Linked DNA regions of Diceros bicornis minor. The protein of the gene in region 3 purifies or fractionates together with the protein of the main gene of each other region. This does not show direct contact. Links are inferred from orthologs where the notes say so. Each region holds a gene or a part of one and is shown on either strand. Other genes may lie near its edges.

Region 1 (7,148 bases), on a different chromosome or scaffold from region 3:
GCCACTATTTGGCCACAGTATGACAACTGACAGATGGGCGGTGGTATGGTTCGTGTGGTTCGCTGATTGGGAAACAAACCCAGGCCGGGGCAGTGAGAGCACCAAATCTTAACCACCAGACCACCAGGGCTGGCAAGAATTCCACTTGCATAAGATCATAATGCAAGTTTTATCTATTTTTGATCTATAACACATGATTAAATTTCAATATAAATTTGGTCCCCAAACTATACATGATATATCATTTTTTAATGTTTAAAAAAATCATACATTTCCTTACAGAATTAAAAGTAATATAAGCAATACACATTGCTTGTTAAATGAGAAAAAAGTTTTAAAAATTGTCATTTAGATTAAAAAATACATTAAAAATTAACTTCATAATATAATCTTAAGGAAAAATTGTTTTTAAGAACACATTTTGAGTTTGAGAGATTATATATATATATAGCTGTAAAGAGGTTGGCTAATAAAGTGTTAGGAAATGATGGACTAGATGATCTCTAAGATCGCTCTCAGAACCAAAATTTCATGACTAAGAGCTACAAATGTGAAACAATTGGAAACTACTATATTATTAATTAATGTATTCATTAATTCACGAACTATTTATTGAGTATCCATTATATGGCAGGCACTAGGGACATAAGAGTGTGAAAAAGAAGACACCATCTCTGCTCTCATGGAGCTTACTGCTGGTAGGTGAGACAGATACTAATTAATCACACAAACCATATAAAACTTCAACCTTGACAAACAATAGGGAGAGGAAGATGGTGCTGTAAGTGCTTATAAGAGGGGAGTTTGACCTGGCCAGCAAGGCCAGTGAAGATTTGCTTGAGGAAGTGAAGAAGTTCCAGGCAGAGAGAAGAGCCTGTGCAAAGGCCCTGTGGCATGATTTAATACAGTGGACTGAAAGATTAGTGTAGCTAAAAGCAAAAGGGAATGGTTTGAAATGAGGCTGTAGAAATGGCAAGAACTAGACCATACAAGGCCTTGCAGGCCACAATTAAGGAGTTTTGTCTTCATTACAAAAGCAATGAGAATTCATTCAAGGATTTCAAGCGGGGGTGACACGATCAGATTTATATTTTGGAAAGTATATAATGTACAAGCATGGTAAAAGAGTACATTGGGCCGGCCCCGTGGCTTAGCGGTTAAGTGCGTGAGCTCCGCTGCTGGTGGCCCGGGTTCGGATCCCGGGCGCGCACCGACGCACCGCTTCCCTGGCCATGCTGAGGCCGCGTCCCACATACAGCAACTAGAAGGATGTGCAACTATGACATACAACTATCTGCTGGGGCTTTGGGGGAAAAAATAAATAATAAATAAATAAATTTTTAAGAGTACATTGGAGTTGAAGAACAAGACTATAAGGCAAGAGAATATGCAAAATAAGTTTGAAATAATAAAGGAGTTTTAAAGGAGGACTCAGGCTATATTTAGATGATGGATGAAACTGACAGAAGGCTAAAGAACTTGTAATTAGGGGAAGAGAACAAACAGAGGACAGAAATGAGCACGTGGAGGGATGATAAAAAGGTCTAGTTGGCTGTAGTTGAGCAGCAGAGGTACGACATAGGAGGTTGGATACATAAGGGCAGACCAGACCTGCTAAAGGAGGGTTTTGAGGGCTGGGCTACTAAATATAGATTTAGTAATACAAGTAAAATTGAGCCATTATAGGTTCCTGAACATAGATGTGAATAAAATGATAAAGACTTACAACACTGATATAAGTATGCAAGTATATAAGACTAATCGGCAATGGTGTTCAGTGTGATAGGTATGGAGGTTAATCCAGGAATGAAGTGACGTGGGTCTCTGTTAGGGTAGTTAGCGGCTTTGGAAGTAGCTGAGAACCTAAAAGATATCTTGAAGGAAAAACTGGCTGTAAGGAGTGAACTGAAATGTGGAAAGGAGGAGAGTCAAGGTCATAACTCTGATAAACGAGGATAATTATGATGCCACAAATGATGATAATACACATTTATTTTCCCTTAATGCTTTCAGATCATAGTGTTCTGTATTTGCCTGGGCAGATGGCAGCTCAGTTTATGTAGTACCTTCGTAGGTCGAAGAAAACAAATTGCTTTCAGGTGTTTCATGATTTCTCGATTTTGAGAATCAATGCGTTCAAAAAGGTATACTTCCTTCTGAAGAATCTCCGATTGTGTGTATACCATACTCACTATGCCAGTCTGTAAAGAAAAAGAATTAACTAATCTTATGCTAGTCTAGAATAATAAAAACAAGCAGCAATACTTATGACTTAAAAAAAATTTTCATTACTACTTAGCTGGATAACTTAAACACTAACATATGTAATAACACTTACTTAGCATCCGAAACATGTAGGTAACGTACCAGAATGAAAAACATGCTTTCTCTGAACACGGACAATCCATAAATTTCTCCCCAAATTTTTTCCACCATCTTAAAGAGTTTTTTTTTCCAAATTCTGTGACCAACAAATAATAACCTATCATCTCAGCTTGAGCCCCAACAGCTGTACTTTGAAAACACAACGCTGAGTGGAAATAATAGGACCATCCCAAAGTCTTCTATGTGCTCTCTCACATATTATTTCTTGGCAGGGACATTTAGAAAAGGATTTCTGATTTCAATAAATCGTTCCGGGTAGAAGAAGAAATCTCTGGTAGTAGTCAGAACCATTTAGGCTGAAAACCTACTGGGCAAGTTTCATACAACCTTTCAGTTCCACACAGAACTGACCCTCATTAAAAAGCTCTTTAATGAATTACTAAATCCTACAGTGGAATGGGACCAGCTATTGTAAGGGAGGGTGGGTTCCCTCACAAACAAGAACTGAGCAAAAGCAAACTCACCGTCTCTTTATCCATGAGAAGTACTTTCATACCCGGTCCGCTGTCCTCTATCATTTTGGAAATGTACTGCTTCACAGCAAAAACCACATTCATGGTGGCGAATTGACAGCTTAACCCTATAGCCCTTCCCACCCGCTCCCCTCTGGTTACATTAACCCCCGGTCTTTTAGCCCGGTCTCAGCCGCTTCCTCCCCGCCCGGCTTTGGCTTCCGGAAGTCCGGGCGGCCGCGGTGCTGGGAGTTGTAGTTCCGCTGCGCGTGCCGGGGGACCATGCCTCTGGGCGGGATGGCAAAGTCCGGCTGAGACACCCTGGGCCGCCACACCCAGACGCGATTCTCTACCCACCTCCAGCCTGGAGGTGTTGGAGGCCCGGACTCTCAGACCGCTCCCGGCCCTTGGTCCGGGATGCCCCGGCTGGGGCCTGAAGCTCTCCCCAAGCTGCTGGCTTGGGGAGAGCGTGGCGGCTCGCGGTGTGGAGGAACTTGGCGTAAGGCTGGCTCCGAGGCAAGAACCACAGAGCGTGGCCGTGGTCACTCTTTGCCATTAACGCTTTCTCGGGCAGTGAAGGATGAAGGGAAGAGAGGTGGCGTAATGCCCCCGGACACTCGAGACTCGGAGGGACGGCTGTTGGTGAATCACACGCGGTGTCTGCTAAGTAGCGGCGGAGATTCGTTTTCCTCGGCCTCTTTGGGTCCTTGACAAGGCGAGGATAGTGCCCTTGCGAAGTGAGGCCGGAGTTGGTTTTCCGAGGACGGGGGGGGCATGGGAAATTGAACAGATATTTGTTGAATGACTGAACAAAGGGAACGAACGCCCTTTAGAGATGTTTTGGGAGAGGCCTCAGATCCCCAGGAGGGCCTGGAGCTGGGATCGGCCGCCGAGACTCGCAGCGCGCGGGTCCCGCGCAGCCCCAAGCGACCCGGGTTCGGCGTCCTGGGCGATCGGACACCGCGGGCTCCAACTAGCGCGGGCGCTGGGGACCTGCGACGCTGGAACTGCGGGCAGGAGCCGAGTCAACAGGGTCTGAAGTGGGTAGGGAGCACGTATCCGGTGGGGCCAAGGCAAAGTAGCGTGGGGATTTTAAGGGAAAATGCACAAATCTTGATTTAAGAAAGGACAAAAACTTAGCAACAAAATGAATCTTAAAGCCATCAACTTCTAAATGTCTGTATTTGTGTTTATACCCCGCAGGTCTTTCCATCAGGCTCTTTCTCGAAAAGGAGGGTAAATAGTTTTCGCACCTTTACTATGGGGAATTGTAAAATCAGGAACGTAACAAGAAACAACTGCAAGAATTCAGTGACTGTAATTGCTTGTAAATATTTCCACCAAAATAATGACCAGTGTTTGTTGGGGTCAGTTTAATCAGTAAGTTCAACATTACCAAATCAATCATTCTTTCATTATATTGTAAGAAGCATATGATTAAAACTAGACCCAGAGCACGCTAACATTCATCTGGCTCTTAAGATTACTTTATAAAACGTTATATACAATTTTCACATTCTTTAAGGGAGGTCAGAAACCACTTGAAATATAGATTTTTATCATCTTTGAAATTGTGAAAATTATTTTCTCTCTTTTTCAGTTTTACTTCCAAGTAAATAAAACTTCCCATTGGGCATTTTTTCTATTTTTGAGATATGTGTTCAAAGAAAAGTTATGGTGGAATGAAAATGAGAATCTTTAAATGGATTCAAATGAGAAAAATCTAATGTTATATAAAAATTCTATTCTTATCAATTTAAAATGTTCATATATTACAGAAAACAAACCAATGCTAATGAAAAATGAAACACCTGCAAATCTTGTAAGATACCAATATTTGAAAATTCACCTCCACTCTCCTGTGTCGCTTAGTTTTTGTTTTCTTACCTATAATTTGGACTTTTTTTTTTTTTTTTTTGTGAGAAAGATCAGCCCTGAGCTAACATCCATGCCAATCCTCCTCTTTTTCCCGAGGAAGACTGGCCCTAAGCTAACATCCGTGCCCATCTTCCTCCACTTTAGGTGGGACGCTGCCACAGCATGGCCTGACAAGTGGTGCCTCGGTGTGCCCCTGGGATCCAAACCGGGTAGCCAGCAGCTGAGCGAGCTTAACCACTATGCCACTGGGCTGGCCCCTGGACTTTAGTATAAGATTGTTTTCCATTTTATGTATTTTTTAGAAAGAACAAGGAGAGAAAAGCTTGTCCTTGAAATTTGTGCTTTTTTAGACAGTAGTCAATCTGTAAGTAATACATGGAAAGAAACTGCATCCTTTTGATTATTTATACTTGGACAATTATAACAGTTTAAAGGAGGAGGAAAATGCCTGTTTTGACAAGGCTTACTAATATGTTCCATTGCCTGTGAAATTCCATTGATGTCAGTGGCATATACATTGATAAGATGTGGTATGTAAACATTTTGTACAAAATAGTTATTATATATTTAAAGTATGCTGTGATGGTCTGGAAATTTGACAGCCTATTTCCTTTCTGAAGAAAACTACAAAAGCCATTTAAAATGTCTCCAGATTAAGAACTTCTTTCTATCCCCATACCTCTAAAAATAGGACTGAAACTAATGATAAAGTCCAAACTCTTGCTTTGTGACTCATCCATGATAAACTCAGAGTGACTTGTTTTGTTGTAGGCAAGATACAGCAAATTCAGAAGCCAAATGAAGTACCTTACCTATTTTTTTTTATTTAGGGTGTAAATAAACTGTAATAACAAGAATATTTTCAATAATAAAGACTTCAAATTTAAAAAGTAGATCATGACATTCTTCAAATATGAATGATTACATCAATTATAAAATTTTCTGATTAAGTTACTTGAAAAATTTATTTTCACTAGGTCTAAGAAATCTGCTTTTAGGATAGAAAACAGGAAGTTAAAATAATATAGTATTTACATTTGTCCATTTTGTTAAGACTTGTAAATATGTATATAAATGAAATAATCAGTAATGATTACCTGAATAAATACATATGCTTTAGCTTCCTACAAAGTATGTCCTATTTAGAGGTTTAACTACCCATTTTATATTTAATCAAAATCCTGTTTTTCCTCCATAAGAACGCAAAGCTTGATATAAAACAAAGACTGTATAAATAAGCTTCCATATAATTATAATAACAATATGGCCAACTCTTAGTTATCTTAGATTTTTAATTGTCTACTGTTCTCCTTGATGCTATGTGTTAAAATTTGCCCAACAAACCCTGGACAGAACGAAAGTAAAGATGGAATTCAATGAAACTCAAATTAATTAGATTTCCTACTTGTTAGCAATTGAAAAAATATTTGGAGAAAGAATGCAGTATTGCTAGTGTCAGACAACCAGTCCTTGTGCCATGTTCTTAACCTCTCTAACCATTTCCTCATCTGATAAATGGTGATAATATAATCTGCCTTATGAACCTGTGAGAATTAAATGAAATAATGCAGAAAAAAATGTGCCTGGCACATATTAAATGTTCAATAAATATCAGCTTTAATTATTTGAAATCAAAAAGTAGACAGGCCTTTTAGCATATTTTTTGCTTATGATGTATTTAATCCCCTTTGATAAGAAAATTTAAAAATAGAATCAATTTCAGTATTTGTAAACTATAGCTTCCAATATAGTTTCCATAATAACTTTATCTTGCATTACTATACAATAATAGAAATATTAATGGGAAGATTTGGCCTGCTCCATCATAATTTGTAAAGCATACAATTTTCACAAAGACAAAACTTAGGAAAATTATGCTTCAAGTGATTTCAGAGGCTTAGTGTCTACCAGCCTCAAATCAAACAGAATTTGTTAGATTTTTGTCATAGTTGGTGGTTTAGTACTGAATTTTGTGGTAGCAAAAGCACTGACAAGCTTTACATCACTAAGTGAAAATTATTTGCAGGGTCACCCTGTGGCATAGTGGTTAAGTTCAGCACGCTCTGCTCTGGTGGCCCAGGTTCATGGGTTCAGGTTTGGATCCTGGGTGCAGACCTACACCACTCGTCAGCCATGCTGTGGCAGCGACCCACATATAAAGTGGAGGAATATTGGCACAGATGTTAGCTCAGGGCTAATCTTCCTCAAGCAAAAAAAGAGGAGGATTGGCAATAGATGTTAGCTAAGGGCAAATCTTCCTTAGCAAAAAAAAAAAAAAAAAAAAAAATTGCATGGAGGGTTCTATCTGCACATTCAGTAATTTCAGTGATTCCACCTTTTTGGTGGTGATGTTAACTTTGATCACTTGGTTTAGGTGGTGTCTGTTGGTTTCTTCACTGTAAAATTACTATTTGTTTCCTTGTAATTAATAAA
Region 2 (7,831 bases), on a different chromosome or scaffold from region 3:
TGGCCCTGAGCTAACATCTGTGCCCATCACCCTCCACTTTATGTGGGACACTGCCACAGCATGGCCTGACAAGTATGCGCGCCCTGGATCTGAACCCAGGCCACCAGCCCCGGAGCTCGAGCACTTAAGCGCTACACCACAGGGCCGGCCCCTCATTCATCTTTTTATAAGATCTTTTCTGTACTACTTGCCTCCTACTCATAAATATGAATTTATGGGGCTACATACCTCTTCTAGATAATAAGCCCTTGAAGACAGGAATCTTGCTTCATGTTTGTGAGGCAAGTGCCCAGCACACTGCTTTGTATACAGTAGATAATCAATAAGTGTCTACTAACTCAATGGATGAGCAGGATGTTTGGGGCTGGCTCTAGAAACTTGCTCTGGGCCTCCATGGCAATGGAAAATGATGGAAGCAATTTGACTGGAACACTGGGCTCTCCCAATAGCTAGCAGCTCACCTGTTTGATGATATAAGTTAGCTCCTCGATTTCCACTGCTTTATCATCAAAGAGGGACTTGCGCTTTGCCACTGCAGAGACAAACAGAAAGCCACAACAGGTGACGTCAAAGACAAGGCTTAGGGTATACAGTTCCTCAGCCCTCTTTGGTTCACTGGCCCATCTCTGAAAGACCCCAAGAACACTTACAGATTGTCAGCTTCTCCAGCTTGGCAAATGTGTTGCTGAGGTCTTTCCCAATGCGCCTGCAAATGAGCATGTGTGAGAACACTGTGGGAAAGGGCAGGAGAGGGCCTATTCCCACACTAGCTCCAGCACCACCAATCCCCGCCCTCACAGCCAAGGCCACCACAGGCAAGCCTGCTTCTCAGACACTGTATCACCCCAGCACATAACTTCTCTCAACTCACTTGGCCATGAGGGTGAATTCACTGCGCTGCCGGACAGCATGCAGAGCTGGCTTGTTTGTCTGGATTCCATTCTGAAAAGCAATGTCAAGTGGTGAGACTTTAGTCCCCCCTCTCCATTTCCAGCTGTTCCTCACCGTTCCTAAGGTGTCCACTAAACTCTCTCTCTAGTACTAGTGGTGTCCTCCACCAGACAGTCTAGACAGGTAAACCCCAGTTCAAATCTTGACTTCACCATTCACCAGCTGGGGGATTTGGGGCAAGTTACTTAAACCATTCTGTTAAATCATTCTACTTAAACTATTTAAGTTACTTAAACCACTCTCTATTTCCTTTTCTGTAAAATGAAGACAATCCACATGCTTCCTGTTGTTGTTGCTAAGAGTAAATGACATAAGGGCTGTAAAGCATTTTAGCCAAATACTGGTACGTTGTAAGCACTAAATAAATGGTAGCTAGTATTACCATTCTACCCCTTGAATCAGGATAACTGGAAAGCTCTTGGAGATCATATAGAACAGCAGTTGTTAACAAGAGCTGATCAGTAAAAGTACTTAAAAATGGTCACTCAGGTCCCACTTAGATTCAGAAAGTCTGGACTGAGACAAGGGAATCTAATTTTTTAAAAAGCACTCCAAAATGATTTTGATAAAAACTACTTATCTAGAGGACTTCATTTTACAGATATAAAAACTGAGGCCCAACTACGCTAACTTCCCTGTGGTCACACAGAAAACTTGTGGTAGAACTATATTCAAGAGAACTAGAATTCAAGGTGCATGTCTGTGAGCTAAAGGCTCTTTCTAGAACCTGTTCCTTATCCAAACCAAGTACATTGCAGCCACCTCTCACCCTGGGCTATTCCTTCCAGAATAGCAACCCTAGCCTCCGGGGGATTCCTCCCCAAAACAGTCTAGATCCTGCCTCTAGATAGCTAGCCCACCTCTTCTCTGTTGCTTAGCAGATCCTACCGCCTCCTCCAAGGCTGATCAGTTTTCCATCAGGTTCCCCCAAGAATGACTTCGATCAACAGTGCTGGAGCACAGCCTCTCCCAGATTTGAGTAAGGCTCACTCCTGCCTTCCCCACTCCAGGTCCTTACCTGACGGCTCTGCAGGGACTTGCAGGCGGACAGGAACTCCTGGGTCCGATCTCGGCAGGACATGGTGTCGGGAGGGGGAGGGGCCAGGGCCACTGGGGGGGGCAGAGGGGCGATGTCGCTGCTGCTACTGCCAGCAGTTGCAGGGGACAGGACCTGTGTCTTTGAGAGACCCAGGTAGACACCCTGATCCGTGTTCTTAGACCCGTAGCGTTTCCGCGGGATCATTGAGACGCATAACCTCGGACTGTTGTGGAGGGGAGAGTGTCATTCCCCACGCAGCCTCCTTCCCCACAAATTACCCCCCCACACCCCCCAACCAGCAAATCCTCGGGCCCTTTCTCTCTTGGCACGGACTTTCGCGCCCAAAGCCACCCGCAGATCCTGGGGCCGGCCCGCAGCGGGCAGGGCCCCGCTTCCTCTCCGGCCTCAGCCGTCCCCCTCCTCGACTCTTCTAACTCGGCTCTGGCTGCCAGAGCGCAGGCTGGGGTCCTGAAGCGGAGCCAGAGCCAGGTCCCGTGGCCCCGAAGCTCCAGGCCGGCCTGTGCAACTGCCCCAGGCCCTAACTGGGCCCTCACGTATCCACGGGTTCCTTCGACTCCTCAGGTAGAAACGGTGACGGACCTTCTGAGGGGCACACACTTCGGTGGGCGGAGGGGGGAACCTCTAGGTGTTTATTTGAAACAGGAAGTCCCACCCCCGCCCAAGTCCCGCCTTCTAGAGGACTGCAGCCGCTGATTAGCTAATGCCGACGTCTTTCTCAAGAGGGCCTTTCCTGATTGGACGGCGAAGTGTTCGCTCACCCCGAGCCGGGCCGGCAGGACTTGCTCGCTTGGCCCTGGTTCCCTTCCCCCCGTCTGTCGCCGCCCCCAGAAAGCCGCTGCCCGGAGCTGACACGGCGGCCAGACCCCTCTCAGAGCCAGTCCTACCTCCTCTCTGCCGCCTGCCGCCGCCGCCACTGCCACGATCTCCCGGGACGTCACCGCCTCCTCCCCGGGAGCCGAAGCCGCGGAAACCAGACCGAAGACAGGAAGCCGCCACGTCACCCAGACGTAGCCCCTCCCCCGGTGACGAGAGGGCGCTGCCACGCCTATTCGAGGCCGGCGACCCGAGGGACACGCCCTCCACCCAAATACAAGAGCGACCCCGCCCTCCCATTGGCTAGCCCCCCCGTGACCCCGCCCCCAAGGAACCAGAGCCGGGGGCCCGGGGGCTGGGCCAGCCTCCGGGGAGGAGCCTTAAAGAGCCCGCAGCCCCAGCGGTGCACGCGACCAGTGCGCCCCGAGTCGGTAGCGGGGCACTAGGGCTCTGGCAGGTACACGTTAGAAACTTTATTCTCTGGAAGCTGGGGCGGACTGAGAGCAAGGCTGGGGTCACCCCTTCTCCGGCTCCTCCTGGATCTCCTGGACCGCACACCCATGCTTTTGATTCTGGGTTATCCTCTTGTTTGACGGCATAGAGCCCCGACGGCTGAACATGGATAGCCGCCGCCACACCACAGTGATCAGAAGGCTTTCGTTAGACTTGCGATTCCGGTGGTGGTCCGGCGAGTGCACATCGACCCTTTCGCTGCCTGCGGGTATGACGAGGCCGCTAAGTTCTGCTCTACCCGCCCCCCGTCGAACCTCCTGGGCAGTCCTGTTGGCACAGCCCCCTTTCCCACTTTCTGGGCCCTTCCCTCATCCAACCTTCCTCCAATTCCACAGATTCCTTGGCCTGCTCATCGGAGGTGTACGAGTCCTTGTCTTGGCAACAGCCCATGGCCCCGCACGGCCCCTCCAGCGGCCCCACACTACGTGCCACCCACGCCAGCCTTCGTGACTCCCGCCCGGCTTTGTGACGTCAGATATCCCGCAGCCGCAGGTCTGGGAGCGGCCACCCCTCCTTCCTTCCTCCCGTCACAAAAGGCTCAGGGTCATAGTGGTGTTGAGCTTTTTATTTACAAAGTGAGCACAGGCCCTTCAGGGGCTAGTGGACCCACGCCGCTTCTTCTTTCTCCGTCTGGTTTGGAGTGCCCTTTGGGTCTGCTCCAAATCAGGGAGCTTCCGCTTGGCAGCTGCCTCCAAGGAGGCCCAAAGTTCATCTGTCTCTGTGTCTTCTGGGGGCACCTTGTTGGGTTCTTGAGGCTCTTGGGGCTCATCCTGGTGAGTGGGAGAAAAGCTTAGGAGTCAGGGGCACAGTAAGAGACTCACAGGGAAGGAGGCTCTAGCTGGGAAATCATCTCTCCAGGTACCACCCCTTTTATTTCCTGCTCCCGGAAACCATTCCCATCCATGCTCCTTTGTCACCCTTGGCAGTAACCCTGTCAGGACTATAACTATTAACACCCCTCAGAGAAATTAAGTAACTCAGCAGGTAGATGGACAGTTCCAGGTCTGTGTTCCAGCTGCTTCCTTTTTCTCTCCACAAGGAAATTCTCACATCTATGCCCTTGGGCCCCACATTCTCAGACCGAACTGCTTACCTCCCAGTTATCCCTGCCTGACAGGAGGAGGCAGTTCAGTTGAGACTTGAGATAAACCTGCAAAAGATGTGGGGCCTTAAGGAGCCAAGCATGCTGAAATAGAAACATGAAAGGAGGGAACAGGAAGCAGCAGGCTCTCACCTTATGCTCCAGGCCCCGTGGGTTCCGGATCCTGTGTACTCTCAACACTCTGTCCAAGCCACAGGAGGCAAGTAGGGGCTTTGAGGGGTGGCACTGCAACCCTCGGACACTGCCCGCCAGCCCCTTCAGACAGCCCACTAGGCGCCCTGGAGAAGAGGGGAGATATCACCGCTAGCTGACCAGCCAACAACCATTTATTGAGTGTTTACTGTTCAATCACTTTATGTTTCAATATTTAATCCTCAACATAATGCTGAGATAGGAGTTACCATTAGTATCTCCATTTATATCTCATTTTATGGGTGAAGGAACTACTAAGGCACAGGGAGATGAAGTAATTTGTCCAAGGTCATACATCTTTTGGTGAAGCCAAGATTTGAACCCAGGCAATCTGCACCTGAATGAGACCTCAACCGCTCCACTGCACCCCCTCAGAGGGAATCCTTTCCTTCCTCCCACCCTTTCCCCTCCCCCAAGGCTCCCTAGTCCACTCACCTTGCCGAAGGTCAATTTCTGCCAGCTGTCCATGAGTGTTCCCCACGATCACCGAACTGAGGAGGAGAGCAGAGGCAGGTGGGGTCAGCAGGAGCTTCCTGGAGTCCTTCCTGAGCCCCACTCTTCACCCTCTAAACACTCACTTGCCCCCAGGAGTGAGGGTCATGGCTGTCAGTGGGTACTCTCCATAGGTGGCTTCCAGGACTGGTCGGCGCTGGGGGGAAGCTGGATCATAGACACGGACCTGGAGGAAGACTGAGGCATCACAAGAGTACCCTCACCCCACATAGCCTACTCTGGCTTCTCCACATCTTCGCCCCCTCCTTCAGACACTGCTTTCTTGTTATGACCCACTTAGAGAAACTTTCTCATTTGAAATGTACCCCTCTTCTCAGAGTGCTGTGGTTGGGGGAGAGCTGCTTAGGGGCATGAATGGACAGGGCTGAGGGGAGAGGTTCCCTAGGTTGGGAGGTGGCAGCATTCCCATCATCTGCATGTGTGAGCATTCCATTCCCCCCATACTCCCATCTTGCGATGAAAATGCAAGTCAGGCCTATTTTCAGAGGGTGCTGAATTTCAAGGAGAGAAGTTAAGCCTCAACAGGGCAAAAAAGTGACCCTGTCCTGCCTGGGTCTTAGGACTTCAAATGAGACCAACTGTAAAGATCCCCAGTTGGGCCCTTCCTGTGAAGTTGAGAAGCTGAGACCAGAGAGGAGAGCATCAGGCCTGGGTCCCAAAGCAAATCAGAAGCTACATCAGGACAAAAACGGTTCTCTTGACATCCATTCCAATGTCCTCTCATGACACCTGCACTGTGTGCTTCTACTGTGAAGAGAACACTCCCTTCTTCTCTCCCCTCTTCCAGGTGGGAGGAAAGGGAACAGTCATAGTTCAGGAAACTCCATCTTAGAATGCAGTATACGAGAAGGTCACTGGCTCAGCCACAGGGCTGGAATGGACAGGGGAGTGCTCCCTCCTCTGAGAGGTCAGGGATGGAAGAAGGATGGTGAGAAGGGTGGCTGTGCCAAACGACGGGGGCTGAACCTGCACAGGGAGGCTATTTCTCTAGGAGGCTGCATAAGCCCAGGAGGAGATAGGGATGGGATAGTGCCTCACCTGGTGGTACCCTGTGCAGGTGACAAGCTTCTGTGACGCAGGGAGGAACTGTATGTCCTGGTCCCAGATGGGAACCCGCAGGTCGAGCCAGTCATTCCGTACCTGGGGTAGATGGGGGCAGAGTTGTGGGGTGCTCAGTGTGCCCCTTCCTTCAGCCCTCCATTACCATGCCCTAAAGCCCACTTGGTTTCTGACTCATAGTCAGTGGCCTCAGCCCACTCCCTAACCCCATCACTCACGTTCTTGGCCCTGAACACAGGCTCCTCAGACCCCTGTAGGTCCCACACCTTCAAAGCATTCTCCTTCCCACCTGTGGCAACCACGTGGGGGTGTGCTGGGTCTTGGCGCATCCTACACACCCCAGGGCCCACTCTCAGTTCCAGGAGCTGAAAAGAATGGAAGATGAGAGTCAGTTCCAGAGTCCTTAATCCTCCTCCCCCAAAGCCCTCATTTGGCTCCGACCCTGGTCCCCCCTGCCTTCCCCAACCATCAGGATCAGGGCAGGGGAGCCTCACTGGGTCAGAGGATGCCTCTTTGTCATTGTCATGCCAGACTCGAAGAATACCAGAATCCACACATGTGATGACGGTGCTGCAGGCAGAGAGGATAGAATTAGGTAAAAAAAAAAAAAAAAAATTTTTAAGTGTTCTCTTGGCTCCAGTCGACCCACCCCCAAATTCATATTAACTAGACTCCCTCCTACTGGCCTTGTTCCTAAGGAAGACTCTAGGTGACATGGTCTGGACAGGGCTTGACAGCTCCCACGTTCTCTGTCTGTTATCTCATGTAACTTCCTCAACAGGGTGATGGTTTACCAGTTTTATAAGTGAGGAAACTGAAGCTCTGAGAAATTAAAAAATTTGCCCACTCAGCTATAAATGCCAGAACCAGGGCTGGAAATCAAGTATGTGATATTGAAGAGCAGAGTGCCTTTGCTATTTCACAGCTACATCTGGTGGCCCTGGCCCTGCTGGTCTTTTTTTTTTCTTTTTTTGTGAGGAAGATTAGCCCTGAGCTAACATCTGATGCTAATCCTCCTCTTTTTTGCTGAGGAAGACTGGCCCTGGCCTAACATCCGTGCCCATCTTCCTCTACTTTATATGGGATGCCGCCACAGCATGGCTTGACAAGCGGTGCGTCGGTGCACACCTGGGATCCCAACCTGCGAACCCCAGGCCGCCAAAGCGGAGTGTGCGAACTTAACTGCTGCGCCACTGGGCCGGCCTGCTGCCAGTCTTTCTGAATCTTGAGTTGGTCATGACAGGTCAGGATCAGTAGCTCTGAAAGGACTGAAATGGGACTGGTCTGGATTTAGGCTCTGGCCCAAGTTAAATACCAGCTTCTTCTCTCGAGTTCCCTATTCTGGGTTCCAGATACTAAATGTCAATCTCTCCCTCAAAGTACCTCTCCCTTGAGCCCAAGCAAGTCTCTCCCCGGGATGGGTATGCCTGAGCCTATGCTCCTTCTCACATCTGCCGACCCTCCCCACCTTGGTTCAGCCTTGGTATTGCTTGCCTGGGCTGTGGCAAGTCACCCACTGCTCTCTCTCAATCCATCCTCCACAATCCTACAGGCTCACACCTCTGACCACAGCACTTCCCACTCAAAATCCAATAACGACCCACCACCTATAAAACAAAAGTGCAAAT
Region 3 (6,879 bases):
GAGATGGCCACAGCTACCCTAGACATTCAAGATTTGCCTCCACAGGGCTGGCCCAGTGGCATAGTGGTTAAGTTCGCACGCTCCGCTTCGGCAGCCTGGGGTTCACAGGTTCGGATCCCAGGCGCAGACCTATGCACCGCTCATCAAGCCATGCTGTGGCGGTGCCCCGTATACAAAGTAGAGGAAGATGGGCACAGATGTTAGCTCAGGGACCATCCTCCTCAAGCAAAAAGAGGAGGATTGGCAACGGATGTTAGCTCAGGACCAATCTTCCCCACCAAAAAAATAAATAAAAATAAAAAGAGGAACCCTGATGAAATAAAAATATTAAAAAAAAAGATTTGTCTTCAGGACTAGGAAAAAGCCATGTGCTCCCTCAAGTTTGATGCCACCTGGTCAAAACTGTCATTCCGTTTGCCAGGAAGAGAAGAGGAGGCAGGAATGGCTCCTGGGGAGGCAGACCTTGTGACTGCCACAACGTGATGTGAAGAAAGTAAAGCAGGGCGCCGAGTCCCAGGGAGTGAGCAGAGAGTGGCAGCTGGTGTTAGGTGGACGGCCAGGGAAGGAGATCTGGGTTCCAGGCCACGGCACGGCACAGTGCCAGCTCTGCCGAGGGGACTAGCAGAGGGTGTTAGAGAACTGGCTGGCTGCTGTGTGGAGGTTGTAGGAGGCAAGATTACTGGCCTGGAGGGTAGATAGAAGGCTTTAAGGTAAGGTGCTGGTGGCCTGGGGTAGCAATGAAGAGGGACGGAAATGCGAGGATGAGAGATGCATCTTAGAAGCAGACTCGGACTTGTTGACGGGTCACACGTCACGGGGAGAGGTGGTAAGGAAAAGGACGGGTCAAGGTTGGCCTGGTAGATTTGGGTCTGAGCCGCTGAGTAGATGCCATCACCTCAGGTGGGGAAGAGAGACAGTCAGAGGATTGGTTGCACCCAGGTGTGACCGCGTCTGTAATAGTGCATGCTGTGTTCTGACAGACTGGCGGGGGAGCGGGGAGAGGGTAGTGTCAGGAGCTTTCACAGAGGGGCCACACTTAGCTCAGTAAATCTTGAAGATCGGGAGGGGGGAGGGGCAGGGGAGGAAGCAGAGTTTGAAGCAGTTGGGGCATTGCGGTTAAGAGAAAGGGCTCAGGCATCAGATGAACCAGAATTTACATTCTGGTGCCTCTTCCTTCTTTGTGACCTTGGGCAAGTCACTTTCCCTGTTTGAGCTTCAGTTTTCTCCTTCTGTAAAATGGGGTGGAAAATGCTCACCCCCCACGTATCTGTGGAATGAGAAAACGTAAATTACGTGTTTGGCAGGGTGCACCATATGAATGTAGCAGCTACTGTGTGATGAGCGCTCATGCTATCGCTGTTATTGTTTAGGTCCCACCCTGCATAACAGGTTAAGCTTGATGACTCTGGAAAGGAAAGACTCTGGCTTAAAGGGTTCAGCGGTATATTAGTTTATTGCCGCATAACAAATTACCCTGAAATTTAACAGCTTAAAACAAACAGAAGCTTTTATAATAGTGCTGCTTAGAGGGACACGGAACTGAAACTGCTTGTGGTGATCCAGACTCACCCCCAACCTGATCTGTGGTCGGAATACAGTGGCAACCACAAGTGGGTGGTCCAGGAGAGTCTCTGAATGTAAGAAGAGAGTTGGGGGAAGGTTTCTTGTGAATTACCCCCCCTCAGCCCGCCCCCGCTCCCATCCCCAGATACAGCGTTTTCTCAACTGGTGTTCCCGGAATTATCTGCATCCTAGTCATCTGGGGGTCCTGTTAAAAAAAGCTCATATACCATACCCAGTCCCTGACACGGACTATTATAATCAGAATCATTGAGGGTAGGGCCCTAGAACTGGAAGTTTTTTAAAGAAGCTTTCTTAGAATAGTTTTCAGATTTACAGAAAAATTGGGAAGATGATAGAATTCCCATATACCCTGCACCCAGTTTCCCCTACTATTAACATCTTACATTAGTATGGTACATTTGTTACAACTAATGAACCAATATTGATACATTATTATTAACTAAAGTCCATGTTTTATTAACATTTCCTTAGTTTTTACCTAATGCCCCTCTTCTGTTCCAGGATCCCACCTAGGACACCATATTACATTTGGTAGTGATGTCTCCTTAGGCTCCTCTTGGCTGTGACAGTTCCTCAGACTTTACCTGTTTTGGATGACTTTTAAGGAGTCCTGGTCAGATATCTTGAAGAATGTGTCTCGTGTGGGATTTGTCTGATATTTTTCCCATGATTAAGCTGGGAGGAAGACCGCAGAGGTGAAGTGCCCTTTTCACCACATGTTGTTGAGGGTTCACACTATCAACGTGACTCACCACGCTGACATTATCCTCAGTCAAGGGCTGACAGTGTTCATCAGGTTTCTTCACCGTAAACTTGGTCCCCACCCCCCTCCCTTCCCATACTGTACTGGGTGGAAGGAAATCACTGTGCACAGGCCACACTTAGCACACATGAAGAGCTATGCTCCACCTTTTTTGTGTGTGTGTGAGGAAGATCAGCCCTGAGCTAACATCCATGCCAATCCTCCTCTTTTTCTTGAGGAAGACCTGCCCTGAGCAACATCTATTGCCAATCCTCCTCCTTTTTCTCCCCAAGGCCCCAGTAGATAGTTGTACGTCATAGTTGCACATCCTTCTAGTTGCTGTATGTGGGACGCGGCCTCAGCATGGCTGGAGAAGCGGTGCGTAGGTGCGCACCCGGGATCCGAACCCCGGGCTGCCAGTAGCAGAGCACGCGCACTTAACCGCTAAGCCACGGGGCGGGGCAGGCCCAGCTCCACCTTCTTGAAGGTGTATTTACATAAACTATTTGGAATTCTTCTGCACAGAATATTTGTGTATTCTCTCTCATTTATTTATTCATTTATATCAGCATGGGCTCATGGGTATTTTATACACTGGGTTATAATCCAATACTACTTTATTTTGTTGGTCAAATTGTTCCAGCTTTGGCCATTGGGAGCTCTTTCAGTTGGCTCCTGTGTCTCTCTGACATACCTCGTCGTGTGTGTGTGAGAGTGAGAGAGCGCTCACACGCGACGCTTTCTTTCTGGCGCTACAAGATGCTCCAGGCTCATCTTGTGTAATTTCCTGCCCAGTCCTAGAACCAGCCATTTATCCAAGGAGCCCTGGTTCCTTTTATTGGAGAAGGGTATTAAAAACTAAGATGTGGGCACTAGGCATGCTCAAACCTGAATTTTTAACAGGCTCTCTCCAGCTATTTTTTCATGAAACCACAGTTGGAGAACCTCCGCTCTCCGTTTTGTTCCCGTCTCTCAAGTATTTCACTGGCTTTCCCAAGCCAGTTTCAGCCTCCGCCGGCAGAGGGCGCCAGAAAAGGCAGAACGGTTTCCTTCCTACCACAGAGGCCTTCCCAAGAGAAGAAGGACGCGCGACCAGGAGCCGGGGCGGGGACTAAACGCTGCGCCAGAGAACTGTCAAACCCAGGCGGGGCGTGTTTCCCGGCAGGGGCCGGGCACTGTCACGTGAGGGCCAGCGGTCAGCTGACTAGATCCCAAGTTCTCCGCAGAGGTACGACGCGACCCAGGGCTGCTGTTGATTGGTGGAGGAGGATCCAGAAAACTAGCACTTCGGGGCGGGACCTTGACGATGGGGACTACCATTGGCTTATGCAGAGCCACGTGGGCAGTCGTACGCTGCACCGGGAAGAGAGTGGGGCGCCCTATGCGGACGTGTGCGCATGCGTCAAAGCCCGGGGTCGCCGATTGGAGGCCGTGAGTCACGGGGCGGCGTGCAGTGGCCGGTGGGGGCGGGGCCGGCGGGGCGCGCGCCGAGCTGCGAGGCCGCTGGTTGGCCAGCGCGAGCCACGTGGTCCGGGGCAGCTGGGGGTGCGCGGCGGTGCGACGTCAACGCAGCCCTGTGAGCTCCCCCGACCCGTCTCTGCGACCCGGCGACGGCGGAGTCCTCGGAGGGCCGTGCCCGGGCGGGTTGCTGAGCACTCCTGCGGCCGCCATGGACAACTCCGGGAAGGAGGCGGAGGCGATGGCGCTGCTGGCCGAGGCGGAGCGCAAAGTGAAGAACTCGCAGTCCTTCTTCTCGGGCCTCTTCGGGTGAGAGCCGCGCGGAGGGGCGGCCGGGAGCGAGGCTGAGAGGACGAAGGAGTCGTGGCCTAGAGGCGGCCGGGTCGGGACGAGGGCATGCCGGGGCCTGGTGACAGGGTCTAAGGCCGCGGAGGGGACGCAGGCTGAGGGCCGGGCTGTGGCGACACGGTGTGAGGAGAGACGGTCTGGGATGGCGGAAGGGCCTTGGGCTGAGGATACCCGGGCCGAGGCGACACCATCTTGGGACGGAAAGGGGACCCAGGCTGAAGACGGGCCAAGGGGCCAGAGGACTGTGAGGCCTGGGCGGGGACCCGGCCTGAGGGCTTGAGGGAGCCTAGGGGAGCAGCCGGGTCGCCTTTGGAGCTCTGGAGAGCCTGTCTGAAGGGTCCCAGACGGCCGTGGTGGGGCCGGGGACTGGGGACACCTGCCCCAGGGATCGGCCTTCCCAAGGCCTGGGGCGGGGGGTTTGGGTGAACTCGGGGTGGTTGGGTGAGGGGATCCTGGGGGGTGGGAGGTGCCCGGGACGAGTGGGGCCCTGGGTGGTGGTGATGGTGTAAGAGGACCTGACAGTCGTGTGAGAGCTGAGCAGAAGAATGAATCCCCCGGGGTGACGGAGTTACTACCGAGGAGGCCCGGGCTACGGGGCTGGAGACTGATGTGGAGTAGGGGGATGAGTGAAGCCGGCTTGGTTTAGGAAATGGAGAGAGAAAGAGGAGAGATGAGGGAGAGGGAAAGCCAAAGGAGTGGAAAGCTTTTTGTGTAAGGATGGAGTAGGGATGGGGCGTGTGCGCGGGATGACTGGTGTGCTGAGAGGGGGGCCTGAGCGGGGCTGGGAGACAGAACGAGCGCCTGCAGTCTGGTAGACATTTCCCATCAGACTCACATTAGCCTGTAAACTAGTTCTGATGACCGTCCTCCGAGGAATTTTAGTGGCTTAGGAGTGTCAGAAGCCTGGGTTTGAAGTGTGGCTCTGTCACTGACTTCATGCCCTTGGGTAAGTTGTTTGATTTCCCTGTTAAAGGGGATCACTAGTAAAACCTATGTCAGGTATTTGCTGCTAGTATTGAGTAAGAGTGCACATAAAGCGCTTAGAACTGAGCCTGGCACATGGTTAACGCCCTGAGAGTCTTAGCTGTCATCAGCGTCGCTTCCAGGAAGGCAGCGGGTGTGGAGCCTGTACGCTTCTGGTGGGGATCAGGGTGGGAGCCCAGGGGGATGTCTGAGAGGGGTCAGAGGAGGGAGAGACTGAGTGGGAGGAGGAAGGGGGAGCTGACAGGTTGTGGGAAAGGGACTCTGGGCCATGGGGACTTAGCAGAGTTGGGGGAAGGGGCTTGAGGCTCGGGGCGGAGGGAGAAGAGGGGAAGAAGGGAGGACTGGAGGGGGTTGTGTTGCTTTGGGGCTGGGAGGAGAACTGGAGAGGGAGTGGTGGGTCTGTAGAGAGTTAGGAAGAACTGTGGTGGAGGTGGGCAGGGAGTCTGGCGACAGAGAGAGGCAGAGACTGGGGAAGGCTGCGGCCTGGGAGAATCTGCCAGAAGGCTAGGGAAGGGGTCTGGGAGGAGGGCCTGAGGATACGGAGAGACAGTGTTAGGAGATTGGTGAGAAATGAAGAAGGTTCTTTCCAGGAGAGGAGACGGAGCAGCCTGTTATTTGATGTTGGATGATGTTTAGCAAAAGAACTTGAATAACAAGGCTGAGAGTTATCTGGTCTGGAGAGGCATCCGGGGCTCATGGATTGTATTGATTAGGTGGGGAGTGTTTTATTTTAGAGGCTGAGAGTGGAGAGAGGGTATGTGTGTGTTTCCTCTTCCCTCACAAGGGGAGAAGTTCAAGTGCAGTGTTTTGGGGTGGGGCCGAGAGCTCAGTTTTCCGTGATAGTTTCCCTGGGTGGTTTTTGGTGTCGGGTCCCTTTGGACTGGGAATTAGTGTCCTGTTGGTCAGTGGCTGGAGGGAGCAGCTAAGTCAGCCCGCGAGACACATGCCATCTGGTTGGGAAGGCAAGAGTAACACTTGCCAAACGCTAGTAAAGCAAAATTGTAAGGTAACTAAGGCTTAGATTATATCATGTGTGTGAAGTTCCTGAGTTGAGAGGAAGCGGCCTGAACTGGAGGAAGGCTCTTAGGAGCGAGCTGGGCCCCGAGGAACCCTAAAACTAGCAAGTCCTAGTCCTGTGGAGTGGGGGCCTGGGAGAGAGTGCTCGGCAGCGGGAATTGTGCGAACAGAGGTGTAGCGTGAGGGGAGGTTCTACCCGGAATGATGGGGAACCGAGATCCAGATGGACCAGGGATGGCTCCCCAGAGGAGAGGCCTCCATCTGGGAGCATGAACAGGGGTTCTGGGGGTGCCCTCTGGTGGGGAGCGCTTCTCTGGGCAGAAGGGCCAGCTTGAGCAAGGCCCAGATGCATGAAGCTCAGTGTGTGCACGCTTCACACGGGGAGTTCCGTGTCAGCACGTAGTTAGAACAGGCAGAAGGAGGAGGTGACGCTGAACAGGGATGAGGCCCAGTCTCGAGAAAGGGCTTGCACGTGAGGAGGTGGTAGAGAGCATTGAGGATATTAATGGGGATCTGTCTTAGTCTGTTCAGGCAGCTATAACAAAATACCGTAGACTGGGTGGCTTATAAACAACAGAAGTTTATTTGTCACAGTTTTGGAGGCTGGGACGTGCAAGGTCATGCTGCCGGGTAGATTTGGTGTCTGGTGAGAGCCCACTTCCTCATAGATAGCTGGCTTTTCACTGTGTCCTTGCTTTGTGGAAGAGGTGAACTAGCTCTCTGGGGTCTCTTTTCGTAAAGGCATA
Region 4 (7,985 bases), on a different chromosome or scaffold from region 3:
TTACCAAAATTAATTAAGATTCAAACACTTTAGTCTAAGAGCAGAGTCTTTTTATTGTTTAAACATATCACAGAGTAATCAAATTTCTTTTTTAAAATAAAGTTTTAAAATATTCAATCTTTTCTACTCTCTTTGGAAGTAACAATCTAATACATTGTACACGCACAGCAGAGATTGAAGTGAATTGCAATCAATCCTACCCCCCCTACTTCAATTTAAATAAGTTAATAAGTTGTGCAGTGAACTGCTATGACTTAAAAGTTCGCTCCAATTTTTAACCTTCTTAACTCAATAAAATTACAGTTACCTCCACTGGGTCAACCACTAATGATGTCCAGAGAGAGAGATTATAATTACTTTTAATCAGACTGTTTTTGCCATGGTTGTACACATTAATTCGTTAGTCCACATAACATACAACTGAAATTCATAACTACATGGATATATTTTTCACCTTTTTATATTTATCAATTAGAAACAGATTAAAAGGGAACAAGCACAAGTAATTATTAAGAGAGAAACCACTGCATGTTTAAGAATTACTATGTCAAGACAGTAAGCATTTTTCCAGTGCCAGCTATACAGTCTCCTTTCAACTCTAATGTAGCTGCTATGTTTGGGCCTTACATTATATGTACTTAAGAAGAGTCAAGACTTTATTTTTAAGGTACTTAATTCAAAGGTTTCCTTCTACGTGGTAAGAATGGTTACATTAAAATATAAAGGCAAGGAAAAAGCAATTGTAACAAAATTTGTTTTCTTGGAAATAGTTTTTACAACTTTGCACCCAGGGATGACTCTGTTACTTTATAAAACACCCTCAGACTACAAAAGCTATTAGCCCAAACAAAAAATGTTTCACTGTTAACACTATTACAATTAAAATTGAGCAAAAATCCAACTGAAACCATTAAGTCCTGATATTCTGAGGCTCTGGGACTCAAGTCAAAGGAAGTAGTCTCCAACAACAATGACAACAAAAATCAAGATGATCTTGGGCAGTGGAGAGAAGCAGAACTGAAGAGAAGAGGCGAGGTGATGTATCATGAAGTGATGAGGCCATCAGCCACTTTCTCCACAAAAATCTCTGAGGCAGCAGAGCTCGGTGGTATATGCTACCTTCGTCCTCTCCTCTTGTTCCCTCACTTGGACTCATAAACCTCCTTAAGACAAGATCCACCTCCTCCAGAACTAACTGGGACTTCAGGAGATGAGTGGGGTGTAAGTTCAGAGATCCTGGCTTCAAGCAAATATCCCTATTAATAGAAAATACGTGGGGGGGGGAAAGAAAAACAAAGAAATAAAGGAAGACAATTATTTATAAACACATAAGTTTTGAGGGAAGTAGGGAAAGGCAAAGAGGAATGACAACCTGGTTCAGGAGAAATTATTGCTGGCATCAAGGACTGACCAACAAGGTGGGAAAGAAGTTGCCCACCAGTTCACAGATCAATGAGCATCCTCTTTTCTACATGTTACACTCTAGAGGCAGGTAAGGCCAAGTCTAGCAGTCCCATGATGTTCCAATTTCCCTAACAAAACTAAGCCAAAAAGTAACAATCTTATCTGCAACTAACTACTTAAATTAAATCTGTATTTAGAGAAAGATAAATCCTCAAACGATGTCTTACAAACAAAAATCACAAAATATCATATTTATATTCATCTGTTTATTTACTTAAACATTTTTCTGGGCTCTAAGTAAATGCCAAGAGTTAAGTCAATCCTACCTTCACATAGTTGGCAGTCTAGCATGGGACGTAAGCCGTGCTAAAATACAAAAATAAAAGCACTTCTAGATGGCAGTTGTGGAATTTTAAAAGTGAGAAAAACTGTACCAAGTTTTACATAAAATTGGCCTACAGATTGCCAAGAAGGATGAGAAATAATAAATGGGGTTGAGGGTATGAAAAATACTAATGATAACAGCAGCTAACACCAAGAAAGGGTTTTCCATGTGTTAAATCATTTAATCTTCACAACAACCCTATGAGAGACGTACAATTCTCCCCATTTTACCAAGAAGGAAAGTTGAAAGAGGTTAAGAAACTTGCCTAAGCGCCATAACTCCTAAGTGGCAGAGCTGGGATTTGAATCCAGACACCGTGGCTCTTAACCCTATTTTGCCGCATAAAATAATATTATTACTAATAAAACAACATTGCTGTATACTGCAGACTCATGGTCTAGGTACGTTCATTCATTCTCTTTGAATACTCACATCTGTATATTTTACAAACGAAAACTGAGACTTAGAGAAACGTTCCCAAGGTTATACAGGTAACAAGGCGCTGGAGTCCGGATTCGAGCCCAGATGGCTCAGATTCCGAAGACTCTTTTCACTCACTGCACCCCAAAGGACTCTCCCTTTGGCCTCAACTAAGTAAGCTCCATCCCTCCGGAAGGGCTCCAGCACCGCCCCCGGGCTCCACTCCCGCCTCGCGCCTCAGAGACACTTGTTCAGGCGGCGTTCCACCGCCCCCGAGCCTCCGCTCTCTCCGGGCCACCCCCACACCCCCGGCAGGGCCAGGGCTCACCAGGAGGGAGTCGGGGGACCCTCGCAATCTTGCCGGTGATCTCGGCAGTTAGCACCGCGAAGTCCTGCTCGTAGCCTTCGAAGTCAGACGACATGGTGGCTCCGGAGTGATCGGCCCGGGCCGGAGCCTAGGTCGTGGCAGGGGCCAGGCGGGACAGGAGAACACCGTGGAGGGACCCCGGGGGGCACCCTCGAGAGCAGAACGCAGAACCGGCGACAGCTCCCGGCCCGGCCGCTTCCTGGTTGTTCGTCACAATCTCGGTCCTCTGGAAATCGGGCTGCCGTGCGCTTTTTAATTTCCGCTCAGGCTTCACGATTAAGAAATTCGTTAAGAAAAAGCACTTCGATTAGGGCCCCAAAAGGCCTCCGAAAATATGCGTGTTCTCAGGGATCACTGGAAACAATTTTTTGCTCCTTTAAGTTCTGGAAAGCGGCTCCGGCTCCTCAAGATACAAGTCACAAGAGCTTGCTTCCCGCGGGACGTTTGATGTGGAGAACTTCCCGGAAGTGGCTGTCACGGAGATTGCGCACCGGGCCTGCGCGGGAGAGCAGCGGCGAGGGCGCTGGCGGAGACCGACCGGTCGTGGGCGGCCCGCGCTCCAGCCTCTCGCAACCAGGATTTGCTCTCTGCTTGCGCTGGACTGGGGTACCCATGACGGAGTTATCCGAGGAAGAGAAAACCTGTTCTGGGTGAGCCCAGGCCGCCGGAAATGCGGTGGCAGAGGCGCGGGCACCAATGACCAGTCTGAGGTGGGAGTCGAGGCGGGGGATGTGACCATGATTTTGGCGGTCTTCGGCCGACCCGAGTGAGGCCAGACTCTCCAGATGTTGAGACCAACACCCACATGTTCTCCTGAGTGAGGATCCGAGCGCTCTGCTCCACGGCACGAGCGGGAAACTGAGGCACAAGGCAGTGGGCATCTGTTGCTAGGACGTTTTTATTATCCTCTACCTCAGACCTTGTTCTCTGACTCACCCCAGTCTAGTTAGGAAGACCCTTCTACAGGTTTTGCCGGCGTTCGCTCCGAGAGGCACTTCCTCTTCTTTTTTTCTCCAATGTTCTCATTCGTGGTCGTTCTCGTATACGCCTGCAGTCGTGATTTCACACACACCTCTCTCCCTCCCTCCTCTCCTCGCACTGTCTTTGCTTTCACTCTCCCGCTTCTGTACCCTTGGCCCAAATAGACCCTTATGATGGTGTTTTGGAGGCAAGCGCAGGCAAATGGTATAGACCATGTCTGGATCGTACTTGACTTAATTCGAGATAGGTAAGAGGCAGTTTAGAACTCTGTAAAGGGAGCTCGATGACTTGGTTTCTATTCTGAGGTCTGCTGTTGCTAGTGACCTTGGTCTAATCACTTAGCTCCTCCCGGCCAATTTCTTTTCCATGAAGAAGGAAGCTGGATTAGATGAACTCTAAGGCCTCCTTCCCAGCTCTAAAACTTTGTCTCCTCAAACCATTCATTAAACGTTGGGTAGTCACAGTCCTCTGACAAGTTGGGAACAAAGGAATAAAAAGTATATTTTAGAATCATGTATCCAGTTTACATGCCATTCAGACTTGAACCCTATTTTGGATAAGATGAAAACGTTCTTTTTTTCTTATGAGGAAGATTAGCCCTGAGCTAATATCTGTTGCCAAGCCTCTTCTTTTTGCTGAGGAAGACTGGCCCTGGGCTAACATCTGTGCCCATCTTCCTCTACTTTATATGGGACCCCGCCACAGCATGGCTTGACCATCCGTGGGTCAGTGCTTGCCTGGGATCCGAACCCGGCTGCAGCAGGGGAGCACTCGCACATAACCGCTGGGCCACTGGGCCAGCCTGAAAAACATTCTTTTTGACATTTAAGATACTCATCCCGTAGTAGTGCATTTGTAAGATGCTTTAGTGTAGGTGATTATTGGAGTTGATAAATATAGTATATAATAAAAGGTTTTACTAAACTTTCTTATTTTGTTTTCTTTAGATTGGGTTTCAAACCAAGATACTGGATTCTCCTCTTTAAGATAAAGAGCTCTGAGTGTGTAACAGTACAAATGGCATAATCTGCATTGCCGTTTCACAACTTGAAGGCATGACAGTTAAAGAACACACATGGACTTGTGGCACATGGAAATGTGTGCACAGAAAAAGGAAATCTATAATTCTTTAAAAATAGGAAGGCGTTCTTCCTCACCAAAATGGGTACATTCTGCTCAGTTGTGAAGTTTGAAAATCTCCAAGAATTAAAGAGACTGTGTCACTGGGGACCCATCATAGCCCTTAGTGTTATAGCAATATGTTCTACGATGGCCATGATTGACTCTGTGTTGTGGTATTGGCCCTTACATACAACTGGAGGAAGCGTGAATTTCATCATGTTGATAAATTGGACTGTCATGATTCTTTATAATTACTTCAATGCCATGTTTGTTGGCCCTGGCTTTGTCCCTCTGGGGTGGAAACCGGTAAGAAAAAGATTCCTTAATGTGATGAACTCTAATGATAATCATATATTTAGTTTTTGCCTTATCTGCTAACCAATAATATCAAACACAGCCTGCTCTTTGCCTTGGTAGAGACTAAGCATATTATTCTAATCACATTATTTAAAGCTCAAAGAATTTATTTCATACCAGTTTGAAGATATTGATCTAAATTAGGGTTTCCCCAAGTAATTTCATTGAATACTTCTGCATTTAAAAAAAAAAAAAGAGGGAGCCAGCCTGGTGGCGCAAGCAGTTAAGTGTGCGCGCTCTACTGCGGTGGCCCAGGGTTCGCCGGTTCGAATCCTGGGTGCGCACCAACACACCGCTTTTTAAGCCATGCTGTGGCGGCATCCCATATAAAGTAGAGGAAGATAGGCATGGATGTTAGCCCAGGGCCAGTCTTCCTTAGCAAAAAAAAAAAAAAAAGAGGAGGATTGGCATTGGATGTTAGCTCAGGGCCGGTCCTCCTCACAAAAAAAAAAAAAACAAAAGGAGGGAGGGTGGTGAGTCCATGTTCTTAAGTTTCTAGGAAACACTGCATATCATACACTTTTCATAATATCACAGTGTGGTTTAACTCCAGGATCTTTTTTCATGTAATACATTAACATCCCTCAAAACTGAGAAAAACACTTTAGAAACTGCTGGTTTAAGTCATAAAGTTTTTAAATCATTGTGGTGAAATCATAATATTGGGAAGTATACTATCACTCGATTGATAGTATCAATCAATTTATGGCTTTTTAAAAATTGTTAGAAAGTTTATGCATATGAATTTTCATATTCTTTGCTGAGGGATATCACCTGGTAGTTTGTCAGAAATGCAGAATCTTGGGCTCCACTCCAGAACTACTGAATCAGAATCTGTGTTTAAAAAAATCACCAGGTGATTGTTAGGTACATTACAGTTGGAGGAACACTAGTGTGCTATTTGAAGTGGGTACAGAGGTGGGTAAAATGCAGTTCATGTTCTGAAGAACCTTATAAGTGAGAAGACAAACCAAGGCACTTGTGCAGATAACTATCGAGTAGAATGTGATGGATGCTGTTGAATTTAGAAGAACTGATCGTTTTCAGCTGGAGACCTGAGGGAGGAGCGGAAATTATCCACAGGAGATGGGGAAGAGGGCATTTCAGGTTGAGAGAATGGTGGTAGCATGGATTCAGAAACAATGGACAGCCTAGTTTGGCTGGAAAAGAGATTATATAGTAAAGATAAGGCTGAAACAAAGGCGGATTATGGAAGGCCTCAAATACATGAGAAATTAGACCATAGGGAGTTATTAGAGGTTTTCAAGCACAGCTCTGACGCAATCAGAGTTGTGTTATAGGAATGTTATTCTGACAATAGACGCTTTGGATTAGAGAGGCTACAGTAAAGGAAACTAGTTAGGAAGTAGTTAAAGTGGTCCAAGGGAGGGGCCTGATTTCCAAAAGAGTATCAACTCTGGTGTTTGAGTCCCACTCTAAAATACCTGCCAAGTTGTCAGCTACCTTTTTTTCTGAACTCCTCCCATTCTACTGAGATTTTGGATCTTAGTAGAACCAAGTATGTATACTCAGTGACACTGGATTTGGATGGAGCATGGAGAAGAGAAATTAAAAATGACTTCTGGGTAATTGGAAAAGTGATGCTGCTGTTACCAGAAATTCATTATTTAAAAATATTTTAGCTCAAATAAAACAGCTGCAGATACAAGTTAAGGTTCCATCCTCCCCATCCCCATAAAAGAAAATCAAACCATAGGAAAGTATTTATTCCTAAGGTTTGACTTATTATTACTTAGGGTCAGATATCTGATGTATTTTTGTTTATATTTTGCTGCCAAGGAAAATTCTCAAGATAGCATGTACCTCCAGTATTGTAAAGTCTGCCAAGCGTACAAGGCACCACGGTCACATCACTGCAGGAAGTGTAACAGGTACTGTCTGTCTTTGCTATTCATTGGCGACTGATCCACTTGATTACTGGTCTTTTGATGTTGTTCCTTCTACCACATCAATCCTAGTTTTATTCTCTGCAAGGTGGCTAGTTTATAAAAAATATTGTCAGAATACTTGTGTCCATAATCTCCATTTTACTCTTCAATTATCAATTCTGATAATAAATAAATCTCACTCTTTTTTGTTATAAGTGAAAAGATTCTTCTAGAAAAATACAGATTTACTTTGCTTCTTGCCCTGCCAAGAACAAGTTAAAAAGTTATACCTTCAAGTTGTTTCTATAGATCAGAATTAATTGTGCTTGTCAACTGTCATCTTGACTAGCTTTAGAGTTGTTCTGAGTCTAAATTATAAAACAGACCTGCTTTTTCTGTTATTTAGTTGACTGACACCTACACTTTATACAAATCTAATAAATGAATCCAGGTGCCTATTATCACAAGTGTTTAATGTAAAAAACTTAATGGGAAGAAAACTGAATCACTATAAAAAATGTGAAATAAACTAGAACCTTTTTTTTTTTTTGGTGAGGAAGATTGGCCCTGAGGTAACATCTGTTGCCATTCCTCCTCTTTTTGCTGAGGAAGATTGACCCTGAGCCAACATCTCTGCCCATCTTCCTCTATTTTATATGTGGGATGCCTGCCACAGCATGGCTTTATAAGCAGTGGGTAGGTCCACACACGGGATCCAAACATGCGAACCCCAGGCCGCCGAAGCAGAGTGCACAAACTTAACCACTACGCCACCGGTTCGGCTCCAAGCTAGAACCTTTTTTAATGAACAGCTATATCCACTGATTAATAAGAAATTTATGTTGAAAATGTTGAGGTTTAGGGGAACCCTTAAGACTTTGCTTATTGTACCACATCTTCTATTCTGGAGTTAGCTTGCTTAGCTCACAGATTCCACATCTAAAGGATGAGAACAGGAAGGAAGTTACAAGCGTCTGCTAGGCCCCATCAACCCCAGTGGAGATTTATAAGTGATTTTGTTGAGTCTCTGTTGTACTCCACTTCAGTCACTGCATTTCAG

The links.
Region 1: the proteins of NAPA (region 3) and VPS45 purify together in Homo sapiens (affinity purification with mass spectrometry; 3 studies listed by BioGRID and IntAct, with this or other methods). This does not show direct contact. The link is inferred for Diceros bicornis minor from reciprocal best matches to the Homo sapiens genes NAPA and VPS45.
Region 2: the proteins of NAPA (region 3) and STX5 purify together in Homo sapiens (affinity purification with mass spectrometry; 3 studies listed by BioGRID and IntAct, with this or other methods). This does not show direct contact. The link is inferred for Diceros bicornis minor from reciprocal best matches to the Homo sapiens genes NAPA and STX5.
Region 4: the proteins of NAPA (region 3) and VTI1A purify together in Homo sapiens (affinity purification with mass spectrometry; 3 studies listed by BioGRID and IntAct, with this or other methods). This does not show direct contact. The link is inferred for Diceros bicornis minor from reciprocal best matches to the Homo sapiens genes NAPA and VTI1A.

What each region holds. Positions count from the first base shown.
Region 1 is NC_080743.1:54,580,137-54,587,284, reverse strand, and holds the start of VPS45 (vacuolar protein sorting-associated protein 45), read right to left. Parts: upstream 3,006-7,148; 5' UTR 2,943-3,005; coding exon 2,850-2,942; intron 2,202-2,849; coding exon 2,067-2,201; intron 1-2,066. UniProt on the Homo sapiens protein: May play a role in vesicle-mediated protein trafficking from the Golgi stack through the trans-Golgi network.
Region 2 is NC_080770.1:10,319,083-10,326,913, reverse strand, and holds the start of STX5 (syntaxin-5), read right to left. Parts: upstream 3,007-7,831; 5' UTR 2,896-3,006; intron 2,214-2,895; 5' UTR 2,195-2,213; coding exon 1,970-2,194; intron 943-1,969; coding exon 872-942; intron 707-871; coding exon 651-706; intron 533-650; coding exon 462-532; intron 1-461. Other genes in the region: TEX54 (testis-expressed protein 54), read right to left, coding at 3,340-3,539, 3,655-3,727; WDR74 (WD repeat-containing protein 74), read right to left, coding at 3,928-4,107, 4,431-4,487, 4,572-4,717, 5,067-5,122, 5,210-5,310, 6,183-6,284, 6,422-6,568, 6,698-6,773. UniProt on the Homo sapiens protein: Mediates endoplasmic reticulum to Golgi transport.
Region 3 is NC_080773.1:22,906,879-22,913,757, reverse strand, and holds the start of NAPA (alpha-soluble NSF attachment protein), read left to right. Parts: upstream 1-3,866; 5' UTR 3,867-3,995; coding exon 3,996-4,093; intron 4,094-6,879. UniProt on the Homo sapiens protein: Required for vesicular transport between the endoplasmic reticulum and the Golgi apparatus. Together with GNA12 promotes CDH5 localization to plasma membrane.
Region 4 is NC_080745.1:76,031,928-76,039,912, reverse strand, and holds the start of VTI1A (vesicle transport through interaction with t-SNAREs homolog 1A), read right to left. Parts: upstream 3,006-7,985; 5' UTR 2,632-3,005; coding exon 2,538-2,631; intron 1-2,537. Other genes in the region: palmitoyltransferase ZDHHC6, read left to right, coding at 4,719-4,985, 6,837-6,928. UniProt on the Homo sapiens protein: V-SNARE that mediates vesicle transport pathways through interactions with t-SNAREs on the target membrane. These interactions are proposed to mediate aspects of the specificity of vesicle trafficking and to promote fusion of the lipid bilayers.